2 linked regions of the Notamacropus eugenii genome follow. The main gene of each other region encodes a partner of the protein of the gene in region 2 in a complex. Links are inferred from orthologs where the notes say so. Each region holds a gene or a part of one and is shown on either strand. Other genes may lie near its edges.

Region 1 (10,849 bases), on a different chromosome or scaffold from region 2:
TTTACATATTACAGTATGTATCATTAGGAAATAATATTTCTGGGAACTATTTTTAAAGTATTTATAAGCTATTATTTTTACTAAAGTCATTTAGTCGTATCATCCAGCTGTTGTATATATAAAAATGGACTAGGAAATAACTAACTATTCAACTACTTCACCACTAGGTGTCTCAAGAGCTTTTCTGAGACCCCAGAATTGAAAAGCAATGAGACAAAAGACTATACTGAATTCCATTTCTTTTTACAGAGAGGAAAATGTACAAACAGAAACAAGGAGCAAAGATTAACAAAATATTAAGAGGAGGGTGGGATTTCCACAAAACCTGAAAACTACCCAAGTTCGAGGAGGTCTAAACTCTTTTTTTCTTAGGGCTTCATAGGCTTCACCAGACTATCAGAGGGATTGATGAACCCGAAAAACGGGAAGGGTCCGCCCCCTGTAGTGTTTACACTCTCACCTAACACTTTCTTTTTACTTCTCAATTTGATTTTAATGTATTAATTTCATCCCTCTGCACATAATTTGAAAATATTATTTTCTTGGAATAATCACCTTGATATTATTTGGAGATGACCTCAGAAGTCCCTCCAGCTATAAACTACTGAAGGTTAAAAAATTATACATTTAGGTAATAACAGGTTCCTGATAAATCAGTTGATATTACTACAATAATTATCCAGACCCCCCTCAGTAAAGGAAAAAACAAAAAAACAAATCACAGCCTTCTACTGTAAGGAGGTGTTTAGTAGATACTTTAATTGAAGTGAAAGAAATAGTTTAACTATCCTGAAACCACATTTCCTCTATTTGTAAAACTAGGATACCTACCATCAGATAAACTTTGAAATCTCTAGACTATATTAATTTTGCAAATGCAGAAAAATCTAATTAAACCATAAACAAGTATCCTGTTCTCTGAACAATCAATGGGATCATGGGATGGAGTGGAGCAGAAGAAGACTCAACATCACCGTGATCAAATTAGAGAAAAAAAAACCTTTGAGATGAAGTGCGAAACAGTAAATAAGAATGCTTACTATGAGCCAGACACTATGCTTAGTATAATCATAAGCCTCTCAAGTACTAAAATCTGAAGGGTGTGGAATATAAATGCTGTGATGCAACTCTAAATTTATGAACCTATGATCACTACATTTAAAAACAAAATATTTTGGAATGTTCTTCACCCTTTCATACAACAGAAATCTTAATCTTCTTTTCCCTCGATACACTGCTGAATGTTATGAATAAACTCCTTAATTAGGTTTCTCAAGAGGAGGAGGGGTGCCAGAGTTCTATAAATTCCTTGCCCTTGGAGAAAGGTATGTGTTGGTGGGGATAGGTGATAACCTAGCTTCACCTAAATCATCACTAGTTTTCCTCACTTTAATTAATTTTACTCCCTCCTGTCCCTCCCCATCCATTTTGGAAAGTTAAGGTTGGATTTCCAGCCACTAAGACGAATTAGTTGTTTTTTTTTTCCTCAGGACCCTGAAAGCCAGGGAGGCAGAGAGATACACACAATTATGAGGGTATAGTCACCTGCAGTAGAGGGAGATAAAGAGGAGGCAGGAGGCAGCAGGTAACTTCAACGCATCTCACCCTTTTCCAGCACCTGGAAAACAAACTGGGGGCGGGGAGGGGGGACTCCCAGGAATTCTGCTCCCCTGCAGCAGCAGCAGTCCCAACAACCTGGGGTCCCCCACCCCCGTCCAACTGGAGACTACAAAGCCCAGGGCAGACTCCTCCTGCCTCCTCTGGGATGGATGAATGGCAGCAGCTGAAGCTGCTGAGCTTGGGAGGGAGGCAAGAGGGAAAGGGGGAAGGGGGCGGGGAAAGGGGAGTGGTGGGGAAGGGTGTGGAAGGGGCAGAGCCACCGGCTTCGGCCCCAGGGATGCTCTGGCTATGGCAACCCCCAATCCCAGGTAGCGTGAGGCCGCCACTGCTTTCCCTCTCTTGGGTTTGAACTCCCCGCCCTGAATAACCGCTAGCTGCGGCCCCTCCCCCTCCCCTGTCCTTCTTTCTCTTCCCTTCCCTCCTCCTCCCCTTCCCTCTTTTTGTCCTTCCCTTTCTCGCCCCTGCCTTGCCTTGCCTTGCCCTGCCCCCGTCCTGTCCCACTCTCCTCTTCTACGCTGCCCTCTAGCTGTCCCAGGCACCTGCCCCGCTCCAGACGTTAGGGACCGTTTTGGGGAGGAATATAGAATGGGAACTACACCCCCCCAACTACCCCCCTATCCCCGATCATTGTCTTTCCCCATCCCAGTCTTGTGCTAGTGGCCACAAATCAAGAAGCTAGGAACAAGCTAAGGTGTGGGAGTTCGTTATTCCTCTTTCAGCTTCTCACATCTTCGTTTAAAGAATATGTTTAGAAAGATAATTATGTGCATTTATTTTCACTGAATATCAGTTTTTAATGTATCCATCCCTACTGTTCCTCACCCCCATCGTTATGCCTTCACCCCACACAGTACCTTCCTTTTCTACTCTTTCCCACATGGGATCTCCCATAGCATGTTTTGTCTATTCATTCGTTTGGTACTCACTGTATGATACCTTACTTATCTTTTTGTGTGTATGTGTTTTGTCTCCCCAACAGGAATTTAATGCCTCATATACCCAATACCTAACACAGTTTCTTGTACACCAGAGGTTCTCAATAAGTTTTTGCAGTATGGTATAGATGAGACAGCAATAGATCATGAAAAGGACCCTAATTTGGAGTCACAAGTTCTGGATTCAAGTCCTAATTCTGCCAATTATTAGAACCCATAAGACTTAGAGCAAACCACTACTCTAAGACTCAGGGTTCAGTGGAAAGAGTGCTGGATTTTGAGTTAGTCTGGCTTCAAAATCTGGCTTTGCTACTATCTCCTATTCACCCTTGACTGAATTCATATTTCTGAGCCACAGCTTCCTCAACTACAAAATGAGGGATTTGTACTACATGACCTTAAAGATCCCTCTACATCCTACTTTTTCATCCTCTGGTCCTAAAGGGTGGGGTTGGAACAAATGCTTTCTTAGGTTATTTCCAGATCTAAAACTAAAATCCCCTTTAATCTCAGGATCCTGGGGTGTTTTTTCTCCTTCCTATTAGGGCTATGTGAGGCATCTCCTACCCTTTTGCTATATATAGCCTCTTTCATTTTTCATTCTGGACCTATATTCTCTGGGTTTTCATGCTGCTGTCTCTTCTTGTTTTCATTCTAACTGATGGACCTCTTTTCAGTCTCATTTGTTGGATCTTCATCCAGGTTATGACCACTAACTGTAGGATCTCCCCCAAGGCTCTGTCCTAAGCCCTCTTTTCCCTCTGAACTATTTCACTTGATAATTTCATCAGCTCCCTTAGATTCAATTATCATCTCTACGCAGATGATTCTCAGATTTATCTGTTCAGCCCTATCCTGTCTCCTGGTCTCTTCTCCAATGTCTATTTGATGTCTTAAATTGAATATTCCATAGACTTCTTAAACTTAACATGTCTAAAGCAAACTCATTATCTCTGCTCCTCCCCCAACCAAAAAAAACCCCCCAAACCAAAACAAAAATAAAAACTAACCTATTCCCTCTTCCTAATTTCTCTATTGTTATTGTTTGGTCTATGTCTTCAAAGAGAACCAATGACATCATGGGTGATGTCTTGACTTGAGCTTGAATTGGATTTAAGTGAGGCATTTGGCCTCACTCTCTCTCTCAGATTCATCAAAATCCAGCAGCAAGACGAAAGTCAGGATGACAAGATTGTTTTCCCCAGGTGTGATCAGTGGGCATGCTTCAGCTTCTTGGAGCCACAGGTGTAAGTTGAGTGCCAGATAGACACCAAAGGTGGATAAGCAGCCCTGAAAAAGGTTTTATTATTATTGAAGGCACTAACATCCTCCCAGTCACCCAAGTCTCCTAACCCATGTCTCTTCTTCATTCTCTCCCATAGCCAATCGGTTGTTAAGTTCTATTATGTTGACCTTTGCAACATCTCTCATACATACCCCCTTTTCTCCTGACAGTCCCACCACCCAGAAGCAGGTTTTCATCAACTCATGCCCGAACTATTGCAATAATCTGCTGGTTGGTCTCCTTGCATCAAGTCTTTCTGCACTTCAGTCTATCCTCCACTCAGATGTCAAATTCATCTTTCTGAAGCACAGGTCACCCCTTTATTCATCAACTCTACTGATTTGCTAGTATCTTCAGGATCAAATACCAAAATCTGTTTGGCTTTTAAAGCACTTCTTAATCTGGTCCCTTCCTACCTTTCCAGTCTTTTTACACCTTATTCCGCTCTGAGTACTCTGAGATCTAGTGACAATGGCCTCCTGGCAGTTCTAGGCACATGACACCCCATCCCCTGACTGGGAATATTCATATGGCTCTCCCAAGCCTGGCACTTTCTCTCTCATCTCCACCTCTGAGCTTCAAGTCTCAGCTGAAGCCCCATCTTCTGTCAAAAACAGCTTTTCCCAGTTCTTTTTAATCCTAGCACCTTGCCTCTGAAATAATCTCTAAGATATCCTCTCTATAACTTATTTGTATACAGTTGTGTTCATGGTATCTCCTTCATTAGATTTAGCTCCTGATTTGTTTGTTTGTTTTGGCTTTTCTTTGTAACCCTAGAGCTTAACATAGCACTTGGCACATGGCAGGTGCTTAAAAAACTGGCTCTATCACAGTCCTCAATAATACCTGTCTATGGGGAAACTATTTTATGAATCTGTCTGAAATAAAAACAGATGCTTCAGAGCACCAGAACGTGTGTGAAAGTTCAGGGCTGTTCTTTTTTCAAATTTATCAAGTTCTAAATTAAAACCTTATCAGCAAGACAGAGAAGTTTAATAAGAGCAGTATTGATTTAGATTGAGGGCATAGCAGGAGTAGCCTGCTTGAGTTCTCCTCCCTATCTCCCACCTCCCCAAACTAGAAAAACCAAGCTACTAAGAGTCTTCTTTTTCCTCTTCCCACTCCTATACCTCAAAGTGGAGCCTAGGTAGAGAATGACATCACCTACCTCAAATGCTGAGTTTTCAGAGTGTTGCTAGTACCCTCTACCCAGAATGAATCCTTTTTACTAACAAACACCCTACCTTTTCTTGGCTGCCTAAGTGTAAGCCACAGCCTTCCCTATCTCCCCTTCATATGCTCTCATCCTCATGTACTTCTAACCTACCCCACCTTTTTCAGGGCTGTTCATTTGGTGTCTGCTTGGTACTCAATTCACACCTGTGGCTCCAAGAAGCTGAAGCATGCCCACTGACCACACCTCAGTAAAATCATCTTGGTTGAGGAAAACCAACAGGCCTCAAACCCATTGGGGGGAGGGAGTCAATCCCAAGCATGTGAAGACTTCCCCTGGCAAAATAGGTGGATGACAACAATTTGTTCCAACAGCCATGAAGGTGGCTGAAGCAGGCACTGTGGAGCGCTTCAAGCTTGATGAGGCATTGAAGATGCCAAGGTCATCCACTGCATCCCAGGCCATCACCAATCATCCTGACTTTTGTCTTACCACTGGATTTTGATGAATCCAGGAGAGTGAGGCTGACTGCCTCACTTAAATCCAATTCAAGCTCAAGTCAAGACATTACCCCATGATGTATTTAGAAAAAAACCACAAAGGACAAATAACCTGTCTTTGTTCTTTCTCTCATTCATCAGATATGTTAGCCCTAGAAGGGGAGTCAGACTATTCCTATTTCCTCATTGCTACTTCCACCCATTGCCTTTGTCTCCTTTCAGCAACCTCTCCTCCTCTTAGGTTCACTCCATTCAAATTTATCACCCAATCTGGACTGGTTCCCAAAACATCTTCTTCCTTTCTCAAAGGATACAGTAGTTGGGTCATAGTATGTTTATCTTTCTCAACTCCTGCCCTTATACTAAGGCACTTCAACATACACATACTATCCTCTCAAACATCTTAAACTCCCAATTCCTCAATCCCTTCAGTTTCCATGACCTACTCCTCCCCTCTACCCCAGCTGCACAGAGAGATGATCACATCCTTGGTCTTGCCCTCCCCTTCAAGTGCTCTACTTCCAAAATCGTAAACTCCTCTCATTCCATCTCTCTTTATACCTTCCTTTCATCTCTCTGTATGTTCCAAAGCTATCTCCTCTGCTCTAAACTTATTTTCCTCCCTTCCCAATCTGAACCCTAGAATTAACCACGTTTACTCTATTCCATCGGCCCCTTCTGTTTCCACTCATGCCCTACTAACAAAGCTAAAAGAGGTCAGCGATTGGGTCTACTACAAATTATTACATGATCTCATTTCAAAAAAGCATGACAATCCTTTTAGTCCTGCCTAATTGTCGCTCTATCCATTGCCCACAGAAGCTATTCCAAGCCTTCTCTCCTCTCAGTGTATAGGGGCTTCAATAAATGTCTGCTGATGAGGTGAATCAGCCAAGTGGTCTGCTGTTACTACGATGACTTGTGTCCCTTGTCCTAGCACGGAGCACTGGACCTGGAGTTACTGTGACTTGAGTTCAAACACTGTCTCACACACTTGCTCTTCCTTCGCGGTTTCCGAGAGGACCCAAGACATCAAGAGACTTGGGGTGAACTGGATCGAAGTGAGGCAGAGTCGCACGAAGTTGTCAGCCTCACTTTATCTTCCTGAGTCAGAGAAAAGTCAAGAAGACGGCCATTGTCCCCGGATGCAGCGGGTGACTGTGGCTTTCTCCCTGCCGACCAAGCTCTAGGCGCTCCGCCCGCTTCCGCCGCCTTCTCGGGCTTCCCAGCAGAGGGGAGGGTTCTCATCTGTCTTCACAAGCTTGGGGGAGACATCCCCCTAACTCATCAACGGGTTTGAGACCTGACCATCTGCAGGAAAGAACTTACGGGCTAAGAACAACCCAGAAGCCTCCAACTCCGCCCCTCAAGCGAAGGACCGCCGACAGTTTGAACTCAGTCCCGCCCATCCCCTTTCCAGCCCTCGCCCCGCCTTCTTCTGATACCAGCCAATCAGTTACCCCCGTCCACGCACGAGCCGGAAGGGGCGGGGTTGTTTGAGGGCGCCTCCACGCGTCATTAGGAAGCGCCGGAAGTAGGTCTCGGCGCTGTGATATCGGGGACCGGATTGCGGTGTGTGAGGTACGCAGGCCTGAGGGTTGAGAGCGTTTTAGATCGAGTTTAAGAACTCGAGATGGGGACCCCGGGGCCTGGAAGCGGGGCAGGTGGCGGGATACCGGGGTCGGTCAGGAGGGCGCCCTTTCTCCGGCGGACCCCGGGGTTGTCGCCCTTGTGTGCCCGAGATGGGTCGCTGCCCTGGGCAGTGTCCGCCCGGACGAGAAGGTAGGATTGGGGAAAACCGCCTTCTGCGGACCTGAGCCGGCCTCATGAATGTCGGATCGGGGCTGTCATTCCCGTGATGCTCGTGGTTTGGGGGTGAGGAGGAACGCGGGCCCTTGCGTCAGTTTGGGGGCCTCTTGGATTGGAGAAAACGTTCCCGTCTGTGGTTTTCAGGGACTGAAGATGGATACCCAGAAGGATGTGCAGCCGCCAAAGCAGCAGCCGATGATATATATCTGTGGAGGTGAGAGTCGCTGTTGAGAAAGAATACCCCGTTTAAGTGGTTCGAAAACACATTCACCTTCCTCGTTGTGTAAAGTCAGTTGTGAGGGACAGATTACCCTTCCAGAATATGGGGCTTCACAGATACATCGCCTGTAATCAAAACCAAACTTCTTACAGATCTGTCAACAACTAATGATAATAGGTGACATTTATATAGTGCTTACTGTGTGCCTGATACGTAGAATGCACATCGTAGTAACATTTATTTAGCACCTACTGTATGCCGGGCACTGTGCTAAATGCTTTACTTATATTATCACATTTGATACTCACCGCAGTCCCGACAGATGCAGTTATTATCTCTATTTTACAAATGAGGAAACTGAGGCAAACGAGTTAAGTCATTTGCCTAGAATTGCACCGCCAGTGAGTGTCTGAAGCTGGATCTGAACTCAGATCTTCCTGACTCCCGACCCAGTATTTTAACCACAACTAGCAAAAAAGGATTGTCTTGTGTTTATTTATTCTCTCAGTTCTCAGCCAGCTTTACTAAATTGTTTTAAAGGCAGAAAAATATGGCAGCAGGGAGGATCAAGGGAACAAAATAAATTGTAAATTGCATAGTTAACTTATGAATTTTAGAATTATAGTATCTTTGCACATAACTAGTATTTTAGCACATAACATAACTTTGCACATAAGAAGGCTTAAAAAAATACTATTAATAACAGCTTTAAGTTTTATGAAGTGCATTTCAACAAATACTATTTTATAAATGAGGAACCTGAGACTTCCAAGTGTGAAGTGAGACAAGAGTCCAGGGTCTCATAGTATGTAACAGTGCTGGGATTTGACTTCCAAATCTTCTGACTCCAAAACCTTGTTATTTCACCCACAACAAAGTAGGAGTGGTTAAAAGTACCTACCTTACTCTTACAGAAAATAGTATGTCCCCTCTCTGAGGCAGCTAGTTGTTGCAGCCCTCCCTCACTCAAAACAAAGTCCAGTGCAAGTCATGTCATCATTTCTCTGATGGCATGGTCTTCTTTGGCAGCAAAGGACTAACACACACACATGTCCCCTGTCTGTAATAGTACCTGAGGATACTGTGGCTTGTTGGGAACTTGGTAGAGGACAGAGTTGAAAAAGGAGAGACAAGGCTAAATATGAAGCTATTTCAGTAATCCAGGCAAGACCTGGTAAGGATTTGAACCAGAGTGGAGATCGTACGAGTAGAGAAAAGGGAACCAATATTAAACATGTGGAGGTAGAAACAAGATTTGGTAACTAATGGGATGTGTGGGGTAAGGGAAAGTAGGGGATTAAGGATAATGGAGAGTTTTTGAACTTGGCTGAGTGAAAGGGTAAAAATAGAGAAGTTAAGAAGAGAGATCTTTTGTTTTGTTTTTTATAGGGTTAGGGTTAGGAAAGGAGGAGATGCATTCGATTTTGGATGTTTTATTTTCCCTTGGAGTAACATTTTGGCATCTTGAACTGCCTGTGGGACAACCCATTTGGAAATGTCTAATGGGCACTTAATTGGTATTTGACTGGAGCTCAGAAGAAAGACTAGGACTGAATATAGCTCCGGCAGTCATCTGCATAGAAATGATAATTGAATCCATGGGAGCTGATCAGGTCACCAAGTGAGAGAATATAGACCGAAGAGAGGGCCCAGGAGAGAGCCTTGGGGTACACTTTTAGGGAGTAGGATGTGGACAGTGAAACAGCAAAGGAGACAGATGAACTGTCAGATAAGAGAAGCAAGTGAGAGCAGTGTCACAAAAACCCAAAGAAGACAGTTTATAGGAGGATCCAGCAGTTAATGTAGTAAGTGCCTGACATGTAGAACTTATTAAAAGCATGGTGATTGATGGAGGAAAGAGTATTCAGTGGTGTCAGATGTTGCAATAGAGGTCAAGAAGGATGAGGATGGTAAAAACCCATCAGGTTTATCAATTAAGAGATAATTGGTATCTTTGGAGAGAACAATTCCAGTTGTGAGGAAATCAGAAAGCCAGATTACAAAGGGGTTGAAAGGAGAGAAGAGAATAAGTTGAGACAATGGGATAGACAGTCTTGCCTAGGATTTTCCATCAGCAGGTATTCATTAAACATGTACAGCATTCCAGGTACTTGTCTAGGTGCTGGGCATACAGGTACAAAGAATGAAACAATCTCCACAGTAAGCTTGTATGCTAATGGAGAAGACAAGTGCATATATTAGTCAGGTAGGTACAGTGGATAAAGCACTGGGCCTCAGTCTGGAAGACCTGAATTCAGATCTTGCCTCAGACTCTTACTAGCTGTGTGATTCCAGGCAAGTCACTTGATCTGTCTTCCTCTGTTTCCTACTGTATGATGGGGATAATAATCATACCTACCTCACAGGATTGTTACAAGGATAAAATGAAGTATTTGTAAAATGCTTAGCACAGTTCCTATCACAGAGTTAGTACTTAATAAATGCTTGCTTCATCCTTTTCTTTCCATTAAAAATATATGCAGTACAAATAAGAAGTTCATAAATACATATACACAAAGTAATTAAATACAAGAAAGTTTGGGGGGGAGGATACTAGGAGTTGAGGGAGATCAGGAAAGACTTCACATGGAAGATGGTAAATCAACTGTATCTTAAAGAAACAAGTAAGATGGAAGTGAATTCCAGACATGGGGCCAGTGACCTGTCCAAACGCATAGAGATGGGAAATGAAGTATTGTATTTGAGAAACTGAAAAAAGGCCTCCTTTGGCTGGATTGCAGAATTTGAGATGAGGAATAAGGTCAAATTAGTCTGAAAAGCTATGTTGGAGTCAGGTTGTATAGGGTTTTAAAAGCTAAACAGTTTACATTTTATTCTAGAGCCAGTAGGAAGTCACTAGAGTTGGTTGAGTTGGGGAGTCACATAGATCTGTGTTTAAGGAAAATCACCTTGGTGTCAGCAGTGGGTAAAGTGGATTGGAGTATGTAGAAACTTGAATCATGAAACCCAGTTAGAAGGCCATTTCAGAAATCAGGGTGAGAAGTGGTGATTGTCTCAACTGCAGTAGGGAGAAGGGATTGCATGTGAGAGAGGTTGTGAAGGTGGAAACTGTAAGGTCTGGCAAATGATTGAATGTATGAGGTGAGAGAAAATCGAGGAGCAAAGGCAGTTGCCTACATTATGAATCTGAGACACTGGAAGAATAGTTGTGTCTTTGACAGAGTAGGTAAGTTTGGAAGAGGAGAAGGTTTTGGGGTGCGGTGGGGAAGGTAATGAGTTCAGTTTTAGACATGCTGAGTTTAACATATGTCTGAGAGAGCCATTTTCTTAAAGCTTAAGTCTGAC
Region 2 (10,435 bases):
CATAGAAGGTTACTTTCCTGGTGAACAGGTATCTTCTCCCATCCTTTCAAATGAGGAAAAACAATGCTTACCATCAGGGAAAGAAATAAAAGTCAAGGCTTCCATATCTCAAACATCCAAAATAAATATTCGATGATCTCAGGCCATGGAAGAGCTCAAAAAGATTTTGAAAATCAAGTAAAAGAGGTGGAGGAAAAATTGGGAAGAGAAATGAGAGAGATGCAAGAAAATCATGAAAAGTGAGTCAACAGCTTGCTAAAGGAGACCCAAAAAAATGCTGAAGAAAATAACACCTTTAAAAATAGGCTAACTCAATTGGCAAAAGAGGTTCAAAAAGTCAATGAGGAGAAGAATGCTTTAAAAAGCAGGATTAGCCAAATGGAAAAGGAGGTTCAAAAGCTCACTGAAAAAAATAGTACTTTAAAAATTAGAATGGAACAGAGGGAAGCTAATGACTTTATGAGAAACCAAGAAATCACAAAACAAAACCAAAAGAATGAAAAAATGGAAGATGATGTTAAACATTACTTTTATAAAAGTTAAGAAATCCCTTTTATAGTTACTTATGTTCATGGTTTAACTCCCCTCCTAGCCAGTAAGTTCCTTAAAGGTAGATCCTACAATTTTGTTGGGTAGCAATATGGTGCAGTAGAAAGAATACCAGGTTTGGAATCAGAAGTCCTGGATTCAAATCTCAATCACAAATAATATTCATTGTGTCATCTTGAGTTAACTGCTCTAATTCTTATTTTCATCATTTCTAAAATGGGAATGATAAGGCTTGCAATTATCCTCATTAGATTATTGTAAGGGAACACCTACAGAAATATATTATGTACTTAATATTATGTGTCTTTGTATCACTCCCTATACCTAGTTATAGAGGGAAGGCTTTATAAATATTAAGTGTTCAATAATGATTTGTTGAAAAAAATGAATGTATGAAACAGGACTAGCAAATAAACCATGAGTTCTGGTTATATAATGTACACTCTATACAACCTTAATTAAAGCAAAACAAAAATCTTTCCTTCAACTCTTTGGGATTTGCCAATTTCCTTCTAGCAAAGGTTGCACGACTGGTAAATCAGGAATCAAAAGATGAAAGATTCCATCCTGAGGGTGGTGTAAGGAAAGTATGAGTCCCACATCCTGCTCTTCTCCCCAGACAGACATTTTCCAGTGGAAATTCCTGAGGGCAGACAAAAGGAGAATCAGAAAACAAAACCAAAACCAACCAACCAAACAAACAAAAAAAGACTTCAGTGTCAAGAATGTTGACTGCTCCCTAGAATATATCTGCTAGCATTTAATAGTTCTCCAGAAAGCTTTGAAGTTAATAATAGGTTTCTACCCTGCATTTTACCTAATGATCTTGTAATGCACAATTCCCATTAATTAAATAATAATAAATTAAGTATCTGTCTTTTATATTAAAGAAAGAATTCTAAAATGAAGAATTAATGTAAAGTGTAGCCAGATTAAATGACCACAATGGCATTTGATGACAGTGCTTTCCCTTGGAAATACGACTCACAAATTTGTGCTGAACTGTGAGTTGAGTGTTAGTTAAGCCTCAAGTCATTTTACTTTTTTTTTTAATTTAATTTATTTAACTTTTAACATTCATTTTTCACAAAATTTTGGGTTCCAAATTTTCTCCCCATTTATCCCCTCCGCCCACCCCAAAACACTGAAAATTCTAATTGCCCCTATCACCAATCTGCCCTCTCTTCTATCATCCCTCCCTCCCCTTGTCCCCATCTTCTCTTTTGTCCTGTAGGGCCAGATAACTTTCTATACCCTTTTACCTGTATTTCTTATTTCCTAGTAGTGCAAACAGTACTCGACAGTTGATCCTAAAACTGTGAGTTCCAACTTCTCTTCATCCCTTCCTCCCCACCCATTCTCTTTGGGAAGGCAAGCAATTCATTATAGGCCATATCTGTGTAGTTTTGCAAATGACTTCCATAATAGTCATGTTGTGTAAGACTAACTATATTTCCCTCCATCCTATCCTGCCCCCCATTTCTTCTATTCTCTCTTTTGATCCTGTCCCTCCCCAAGAGTGTTGACTTCTAATTGCTCCCTCCTCCCATTACCCTCCCTTCCATCATCCCCCCCACCCTGCTGATCCCCTTCTCCCCCACTTTCCTGTATTGTAAGATAGGTTTTCATACCAAAATGAGTGTGCATTTTATTCCTTCCTTTAGTCGAATGTGATGAGAGTAAACTTCATGTTTTTCTCTCACCTCCTTTCTTTTTCCCTCCACTAAAGTCTTTTGCTTGCTTCTTTCATGAGAGATAATTTGCCCCATTCCATTTCTCCATTTCTCCTCCCGATATATTTCTCTCTCACTGCTTAATTTCATTTTTTTAAGATATGATCCCATCCTATTCAACTCACTCTGTGTTCTCTGTCTCTGTGTGTGTGTGTGTGTGTGTGTGTGTGTGTGTGTGTGTAATCCCACCAACTTCCCAGATACTGAAAAGTTTCAAGAGTTACAAATATTTTCTTTCCATGTAGGAATGTAAACAGTTCAGCTTTAGTAAAGTCCCTTATGACTTCTCTTTGCTGTTTACCTTTTCATATTTCTCTTCATTCTTGTGCTTGAAGGTCAAATTTTCTTTTCATCTCTGGTCTTTTCATCAAGAATGCTTGAAAGTCCCCAATTTCGTTGAAAGACCATCTTTTCCCCTGAAGTATTATACTCAGTTTTGCTGGGTAGGTGGTTCTTGGTTTTAGTCCTAGTTCTTTTGACTTCTGGAACATCCTATTCCACGCCCTTCGATCCCTTAATGTAGAAGCTGCTAGATCTTGTGTTATCCTGATTGTATTTCCACAATACTTGAATTGTTTCTTTCTAGCTGCTTGCAATATTTTCTCCTTGACCAGGGAACTCTGGAATTTGGCCACAATGTTCCTAGGAGTTTCTCTTTTTGGATCTCTTTCAGGCGGTGGTCTGTGGATTCCTTAAATACTTATTTTGCCCTCTGGTTCTAGAATATCAGGGCAGTTTTCCTTGATAATTTCATGAAAGATGATGTCTAGGCTCTTTTTTTGATCATGGCTTTCAGGTAGGCCCATAATTTTTAAACTGTCTCTCCTGGATCTATTTTCCAGGTCAGTTGTTTTTCCAATGAGATATTTCACATTATCTTCCATTTTTTCATTCTTTTGGTTTTGTTTTGTGATTTCTTGCTTTCTCACAAAGTCATTAGCCTCCATCTGTTCCATTCCAATTTTGAAAGAACTATTTTCTTCAGCGAGCTTTTGAACCTCCTTTTCCATTTGGTTAATTCTGCTTTTGAAAGCATTCTTCTCCTCATTGGCTTTTTGAACCTCTTTTGCCAATTGAGTTAGCCTATTTTTCAAGGTGTTATTTTCTTCAGCATTTTTTTGGGTCTCCTTTAGCAAGGTGCTGACCTGCTTCTCATACTTTTCTTTCATCTCTCTCATTTCTCTTCCCAGTTTTTCCTCCACCTCTTTTACTTGATTTTCAAAAACCTTTTTGAGTTCTTCCATGGCCTGCACCCATGGTATATTTATTTTGGATGTGTGGGATACAGAAGCCTTGACTTCTGTGTCTTTCCCTGATGGTAAGCATTGTTCTTCCTCATCAGAAAGGAAGGGAGGAATTATCTGTTCACCAAGAAAGTAACCTTCTATAGTCTTATTTTTTTTCCCTTTTCTGGGGATTTTCCCAGCCAGTGACTTGACTTCTGAGTGTCCTCTCCACACCCACTTTGCCTCCAGATCCACCCAGCCAGTGCTTGGGGTATGAGATTCAAATGCTGCTTCCCAGCCTCAGGGCTTTGGGTGGGGGCAGGGCTGTTATTCAATGTGAGATTAAGTTCAGCTGCTCAGGTTGGGGCAGGGCCACCTCACAGGCTCAGTTCCCTCAGGGGGTTTATGGGGAGACCTTCAACAATGGATCCGAGTTCCTGCCTGCTTGGGAAGCCCCTGTCCGCCCGCCACCTCCGCTGCTGCCTCCCAAGGGGGGCCCGAGCCACGGGGACACCCCACTCCCGTCCGCCACCCAAAAAGACTTTCTCACCGACCCTTGTCACCTGTGGGTGGAGGGACTTGCTTGGCGCTGGAGATTCTGTCCCTGAAGCCTGCTCAGATCTGCTCCTCTGGGCACCACGAGGCTGAGGCAGGGCTGAGCTCTGCTCTGGTCTGGGGCATGAATGGACCTTTTGCGTCAGGTTTTCAGGGCTCTCTGGAACAGAAATCTTGTCCACGCCATTGTTCTGTGGCTTCTGCTGCTCCAGAATTTGTTGGGAGTTCTTCTTTACAGATATTTTATGGGCTGTGGGTTCGGAGCTAGCATATGTGTGTCTTTCTACTCCACCATCTTGGCTCCTCCCCCTCAAGTCATTTTAAAGTACCTACATTAACATGCTTTGTTTTCTGAAACTTTGTTACCTCTTGTGCGCCTTGTTTCTTATCATTGCCCATACTGCTTTCCTCCCTTCTCCTACATCATCCTGAAATCTAGTCCCAGTGCTGGCACTGAGGCCAAGGAGAACATGTCTAATTGCAATCCTTCCCTGTCACCCCCCACAATTGCCCTTCAAACACTGGAAGGAAATGAACATGTCCCCAATATTCTCTTCATATTAAACTTTCTCAATTCCTTTAAAGGATCTTTTATCCTCCCGTGACACAGTATCTAACTTTCTCATGGTCTTGTGAACCATTTCAAATCAATTGCCTTCCAGTTTAAAATGCATTTACCAGAATTTTAACAGGTACTCTGGATGTGGTCTGATTAGGACAGAAGACATGAGAAATTGTCATCTTCTCAGTCCCGGATCCTAAACCTTTCAATATAGCCTAAGATATCAGTATTTTGGGCTACCATGTTGTAACTCTGTTTTTTCCTGTGACACTGCCACCACCCTGGTGAAGGTTCTCCTGCTGCAAATTTCACCTCACTACATATAGTCCAGCCTCCAGTCAGCTACCAAAGTGATCTTCCTAAAGCATAAGTCTGATCAAGTCACCAACCTCCCTCCTATTCCCCTCCATTCAACAGACTCCTTATTACCTCCAGGATCAAATATAAAATCCTCTGTTTGGCTTTTTAAAGCCCCTTCATAATCTGTCTCTTCTACTTACCTAGTCTTCTTATACCTTACACCCCTCTACATGCTCCATGTTTCAATGACACTGTCTCTTTGCTGTTCCTGGATGGAGTGTGCCCTATACCTCATGTCTTCACATTTTGATTAGCTGTCCTCCATGTCTAGAACCTTCCCCCTCCTCACATTCACCCCCTTGGCTTCTCTGGATTCCTTTAAGTCTCAGCTGTGGTTGTGGATTGTCCTTCATTCAGGAAGAGGACCATGACATGAGGAAGATAATGCCATGACTTGCAACTGAACCGGATTTGAGTGGGGGAAGGTTGTGCAAAGTTACCAGCCTCACTTTCTTCTCCAGAGTCATCTGGGTTCAGTGACCAGATACAGATCAGGACAACTGGCCATGGCTCAGGATGTAGTGAGAGAGAGTTCTCACTTTGACGAAACAGTGATTGGGCCTATTTAAGAAGTCAGCCAAGGCCCCTTTAATCAATCAATTAATCAATCAATCGATCAAAAACTGGGAGGGGAAGACCCTCAGAAGTCTCAGCTAAAGTCTCACTGCAGGAGATCTTTCCAGATCCCCCCAAGTCTAGTAGTGCCTTCCCTTTGGGATCATCTCCCATTTATCCTGTATATATTTTCCCACTATGATCTTTTTGGTAAGCCCGTGAGCTCCCTGAGAGCAGGCACCGTTTTTTGCCTTTCTTTGAATCTCCAGGGCGTGGGCACAGTTTGATGCAGGCTGGCTGACTTGGTTTGACTCGACTTGCCCTGGTTACCGAGCTTCCGAAAGGGCTGAGGCAGACCACAAGTCTGGTCTCCTTTACTGCAGAGCCAGGCCTCTGTCTAGACGTTTCACCCAACGCCTGGTGAGCTCCCGGTGACAAAGGGGTGTGGGTTTGTCTCTGTATCTCCACCACCTGGCACAATGATCGGCACACGGCACGCTCTCAAGAAGTACCTGCAGAATGGGGTGGAATGCCCATTCAAGTTCTTCTGATTAGAGTCCATCGGTCAATTAGCATTTATAAAGCACCCATGCTCTTTCACTCTGCTAAGCGCTAAGGACACCAAAAAAAAAGAAAGGGAAAAGACAGTCTCCGCCCTCGGACTTACGGTTTAACGGGAGAGACAGCAGGAAAAGAGCCAGCTACCGGGGGTGGCCGCAGGAGGAAGGCGCCGGCATCCCGACCTGCCTGGGCTGCGGCCAGCCGGCTGACTTGGAAACCGAAGCTCGGCGGAAACGCGAGCGGCGGCTCCCGAGCCGGGGCTGCCCCATTCCCGAGCGCTCCTCATCCGGCTGCGCCGGGAGGGACGTGGAGGAACGCAGCTGCCCCGGAACCGAAAGTGCCTGCCGGTGGTTTCCGCCCCGGAAGAGTGCCCCTGAGGACTTCCGGGAACCTCCGCGGCGCGAACGTGCATTCTCTGAGTAACGGAAGACCTGGGCTCCGCTATGGAGTTTGAGGAGGCGGTGAGGACTCGGGGCCCGGCCGGGAGGGCTTGGTCAAGGCCCCCGGGAGCAGTGAGGGCCTGGAGTGTGAATGGGTGTGGGTGTGAGGGTGTGTGTACACGGGAGCGTACGTGTGTGTGTGCGTGTGTGTGTGGGGGGGGGGGGTGTGCGCGTGTTTGAAGAGGTACCGACCGTTAGGTGATGTGACGGGGTGTGTGCGCGGGAGTGCACGTGTGTGTTCGTTTAAAGAGGTACCGTCCGTTGTTATGTAGCGTTAGGAGTGTGCGCACACGTGAATTCCACAGACGCTTGTTTAAGCCCCTGAGGAGTTCCCAAGTATGTGCTGGCCTCTGGAGGAAGCGGGATGGGGGAGGGGAGATCAAACACCGGGTGGGACGGAGCCTTCCCTTAAATAACTTAGGTTCTGCTGGAGGAAAATGGCCGTACTTAGATAACTAAGTCAGGTTGGAATTGAGAGGAGCGTGGAGATGAGGGGCGTGTGTGTGTGTGTGGTCTCTTTTTGTATCCTACGTGGCAGTTCCACACAGTAGGCTCTTAATAAATGTTTATTGATTGATTCATTTCGTTATTGTCAAAGCTTTCCAACTTTGTGTCATTGGAATTATGTTTTTTCTTTTTTTTGGATCACCTCTGTTCTTTAGTTGAGAATTCTTTCCCCAGCCACACCTTATTATTCTCTTTTTTAGTAGTGTAACCTTTAATCGGGTCATGTATCCATTTTGAGCTTATTGCGGTGTAAGAGGTTTATATCCCATTTTATGTCAAAGTTTGCATTCTGGTTTTCTTCAGTAACTCCATTATCAGGGTCCTGTGAGTCACCTGAAAGAGAAGACCTCACTTTTCAGACCATCTGTCCCATACCTGATAATTTCACAAAATCACAGAATTTGGGAATAGAAGGGACCCTAGCAGCTATGCAGTTCAATCCATACATAAAAGGAATATGGGCAGGGATATACCAAACAAGTGGTCCAACCTCTGCCTGCAGAATTCAGCTCCCAAGTGGGGGAAACACAAATTATCAAGGTGCAACTCATCTCACTTTTTTGGTATACCTCTAGTTTTTAGGAAGTTTTTCCTGATATCTCTAAAACGAACCTCTTTGGTTCACACCTCATGCTGAATTTTTGGTGGCATCTCTTAGGACAGGACCACGAAGATCATCTTCTCCAATCTGCTACCCTCTCAGTCCCCCTTTCTTTGTCAGGGCCTCTAGTTCCTGTCCTCCTACTTAGCTACACCTCTCCGAGTAGCTAAATGAAGTATACAGTAATGGAAAATGCACTGTCTAGATTTATATTTGAGTTAAATATATTGAATGCATATTTTTCTTCCTTTACAGGGAGACTTTAATGAACCCTGTACGCAGTGTGCTGCTGTTTCCTGGGGAGTTACTGATGAAGGAACATATTATTGTACAACTTGCCTCAATGTTACAGAGGTAAGTTTGCTTACATTTAAAAATTTCTGTAATGAATAGAAAATGCTGAAATATAATTTGCAAAGTTTTATAGATGAACAATCCAAATATTTTCTTCAGTCATGTCATTTGAAAATATATCTTCGCAAAAATTTTAGACATAGGATGATGTCTTTAATTATTATATTGATTCTGCCAGAAGTTTGAAGTGGTTCTGTTTAACTACTAAACATTAGACTCCTTCAGGGAAGAAATTATCTTAGCTTCCTTCAAGGAAGAGATTTTAAATCTCCTAACTTGATCTGTGGTTTGATATTGTTTTGGTCTGGAAGCTGTGAATTTATTGATGTAGGGAAATACTTGTTGTGGAAGTTTCCTGCACTGACACAGATCAACAAATCTTCTGTAATATATATGTATAGGAAGTTGCCTGAGGCAGTGAGAAATTCCATGACCATGGGTTGTCAAAGTATAGACTTGAACCTAGGCCTTCATGACTTGAAAGATGGTCCTGTATCCATGGTGCCACACTGCTTTTGTACATAGCAGGTACTTAATAAATGTTTATTTTAGTATTCTTGGAATTGAACTCTGGGACTCATTTTGGACTTTTAGGATGATTTAACTCTAGTTATTAATACTGTTAAAGGTTTTAAATGTTATTCTAAATTGTTCCCTACGTATATAGCTGAATTTGCTATAGTAGCGAAAAAGACTCCCCAAATACTGCATATTACCTATAAGAATATTGGAATATAAGCAGATCCCAACAAATGTACCATTAAGAAATTGATGTCTTAACCATGTGACCAAATGTCTGTATGAACTCCCCTTCTCTCCTTATTGCCTTCTTCAACAAGCATTTCTTAAGTGCTTAATATGTGTTAGTACTGTCTTAGGTTCTGGGATAGAAATTAGACAGTCCATGTTTTCAAGTAGCTTCTATTCTATTAGGAAGAAACAACATGTACATATATAAGTAAATCCATACAGAATAATTTGACTTTTTTGGGTGGGGATGTAAATCAGGAATAAGGAAAAGTCCTGTATAGGAAGAACTTGAGCTTGAACTTGAAGGAAACGAGGCCTTCTAAGAGGTCGGGAGGTGGGGAGGTTTTGCATTTTAGGTATGGGAGACTAACTGGCATGTAGAAAGAACAGCAAAGAAATATGGAAAGATATATGAAGTAATGAAAGACATGGTCAAAAAATAAGAAAAGCAACCAATATGTTGACTAAAGCAGAATAAAAAAAACCACTTAACTTTTTATAAATATACAGGTGAATAAAAAGGACAAAGAATGAGTTGATTTTTGTTATTAAAATTTTTTATGTTGTTGTTTTTCAATCATAATGTTTGGATTTGATGATTTTATCTAGAAATTTATTCCATGTTTTGTTTGTATTTGTTGAAAGTGTAACTATTTTAAAAGTAAAAAAAATCTGTAGAAGATTGTTTGAATAGCAGCATGGCACAGGGGAACGTTTGCTGAATTTGGAATCAGAATCTGGATTTGGATCCTGGCTTTGCTACTCTTTACTTTTGTGAATTTGGGCAAGTCTCTTCCCTTCTCAGGGCCACAGGTTTCTCTTCTGTGAAATGAGAGAATTGGACTGTAGATGGTCTGCAAAATCCCTTCCAACTTTAAATTGATCATTGATAGCAGCTAGCTAATCAACAAATGTTTATTAAGTGTCTCCAATATGCCATGCACTGTTTTAAGTGCGAGGGAAACAAAGACATACATGAAACTTGTCCTTGAGGAGCCTGTATACTTTAGGTGGAGACAACATGTACATGTATAAGCATATACAACAAATGCAAGACAATTTCAGGGACAGTAGGTATTCAGGAGCAGGTTGAGGAGGTTCAGTAAAGTCATTGACTAGGAAGTAGCATTTGGGATGGACTGAAAGACACTAAGAAGAGCATTCCAGGCATGGGCAGTAACCTGTACAAAGGAGATGAATGTGATCTGTAAGGAGGACAAGGAAGCCACTTTAGCTGGCTCATAAAATGTGTGAAAATGTAAAATGTATAATAAATCTGGAGAGGTGGTTTGGAGCCAGGTTGTGAAGAACTTTTAAGTGTCCAACAAACAAGTTTGATACTTTACTTAATAAGGAACCACTGGAGTTTATTGTGTCAGGAAGTGACATGGTCAGATCAGTTCTTTAAAAGTGACTCTTTGGCAACTTTGTGGAGGATTGACTGGAGAGGGGACACACTTGGCTCAGGTGGACTAATTAGCAGACTTTTGCAGTAGTCAAGGTAAGAAGTAAAATAAATACTTAAGTTAGTGGTAGCCTTGTAGGTGAAAAGGAGAAAAATGTGAGTGATATCATACTGCTAGAATTGGACTTGGCAATATGTGAGGTTTGAACCCAAAGTAAAAATTTGCAATATAGAGACATTAAGAGGCAATTCCATTAAAAACAATCTAAAGGTTCCT

What was found. Proteins that work in one complex are often made in the same cells at the same time.
Region 1: TAF1B (region 2) and POLR2K share a complex: the UniProt entries of both Homo sapiens proteins name them as parts of the pol I pre-initiation complex. The link is inferred for Notamacropus eugenii from reciprocal best matches to the Homo sapiens genes TAF1B and POLR2K.

What each region holds. Positions count from the first base shown.
Region 1 is NC_092875.1:151,530,370-151,541,218, reverse strand, and holds the start of POLR2K (DNA-directed RNA polymerases I, II, and III subunit RPABC4), read left to right. Parts: upstream 1-6,991; 5' UTR 6,992-7,095; intron 7,096-7,467; 5' UTR 7,468-7,476; coding exon 7,477-7,537; intron 7,538-10,849. UniProt on the Homo sapiens protein: DNA-dependent RNA polymerase catalyzes the transcription of DNA into RNA using the four ribonucleoside triphosphates as substrates.
Region 2 is NC_092872.1:549,075,356-549,085,790, reverse strand, and holds the start of TAF1B (TATA box-binding protein-associated factor RNA polymerase I subunit B), read left to right. Parts: upstream 1-6,462; 5' UTR 6,463-6,544; coding exon 6,545-6,562; intron 6,563-7,904; coding exon 7,905-8,003; intron 8,004-10,435. UniProt on the Homo sapiens protein: Component of RNA polymerase I core factor complex that acts as a GTF2B/TFIIB-like factor and plays a key role in multiple steps during transcription initiation such as pre-initiation complex (PIC) assembly and postpolymerase recruitment events in polymerase I (Pol I) transcription.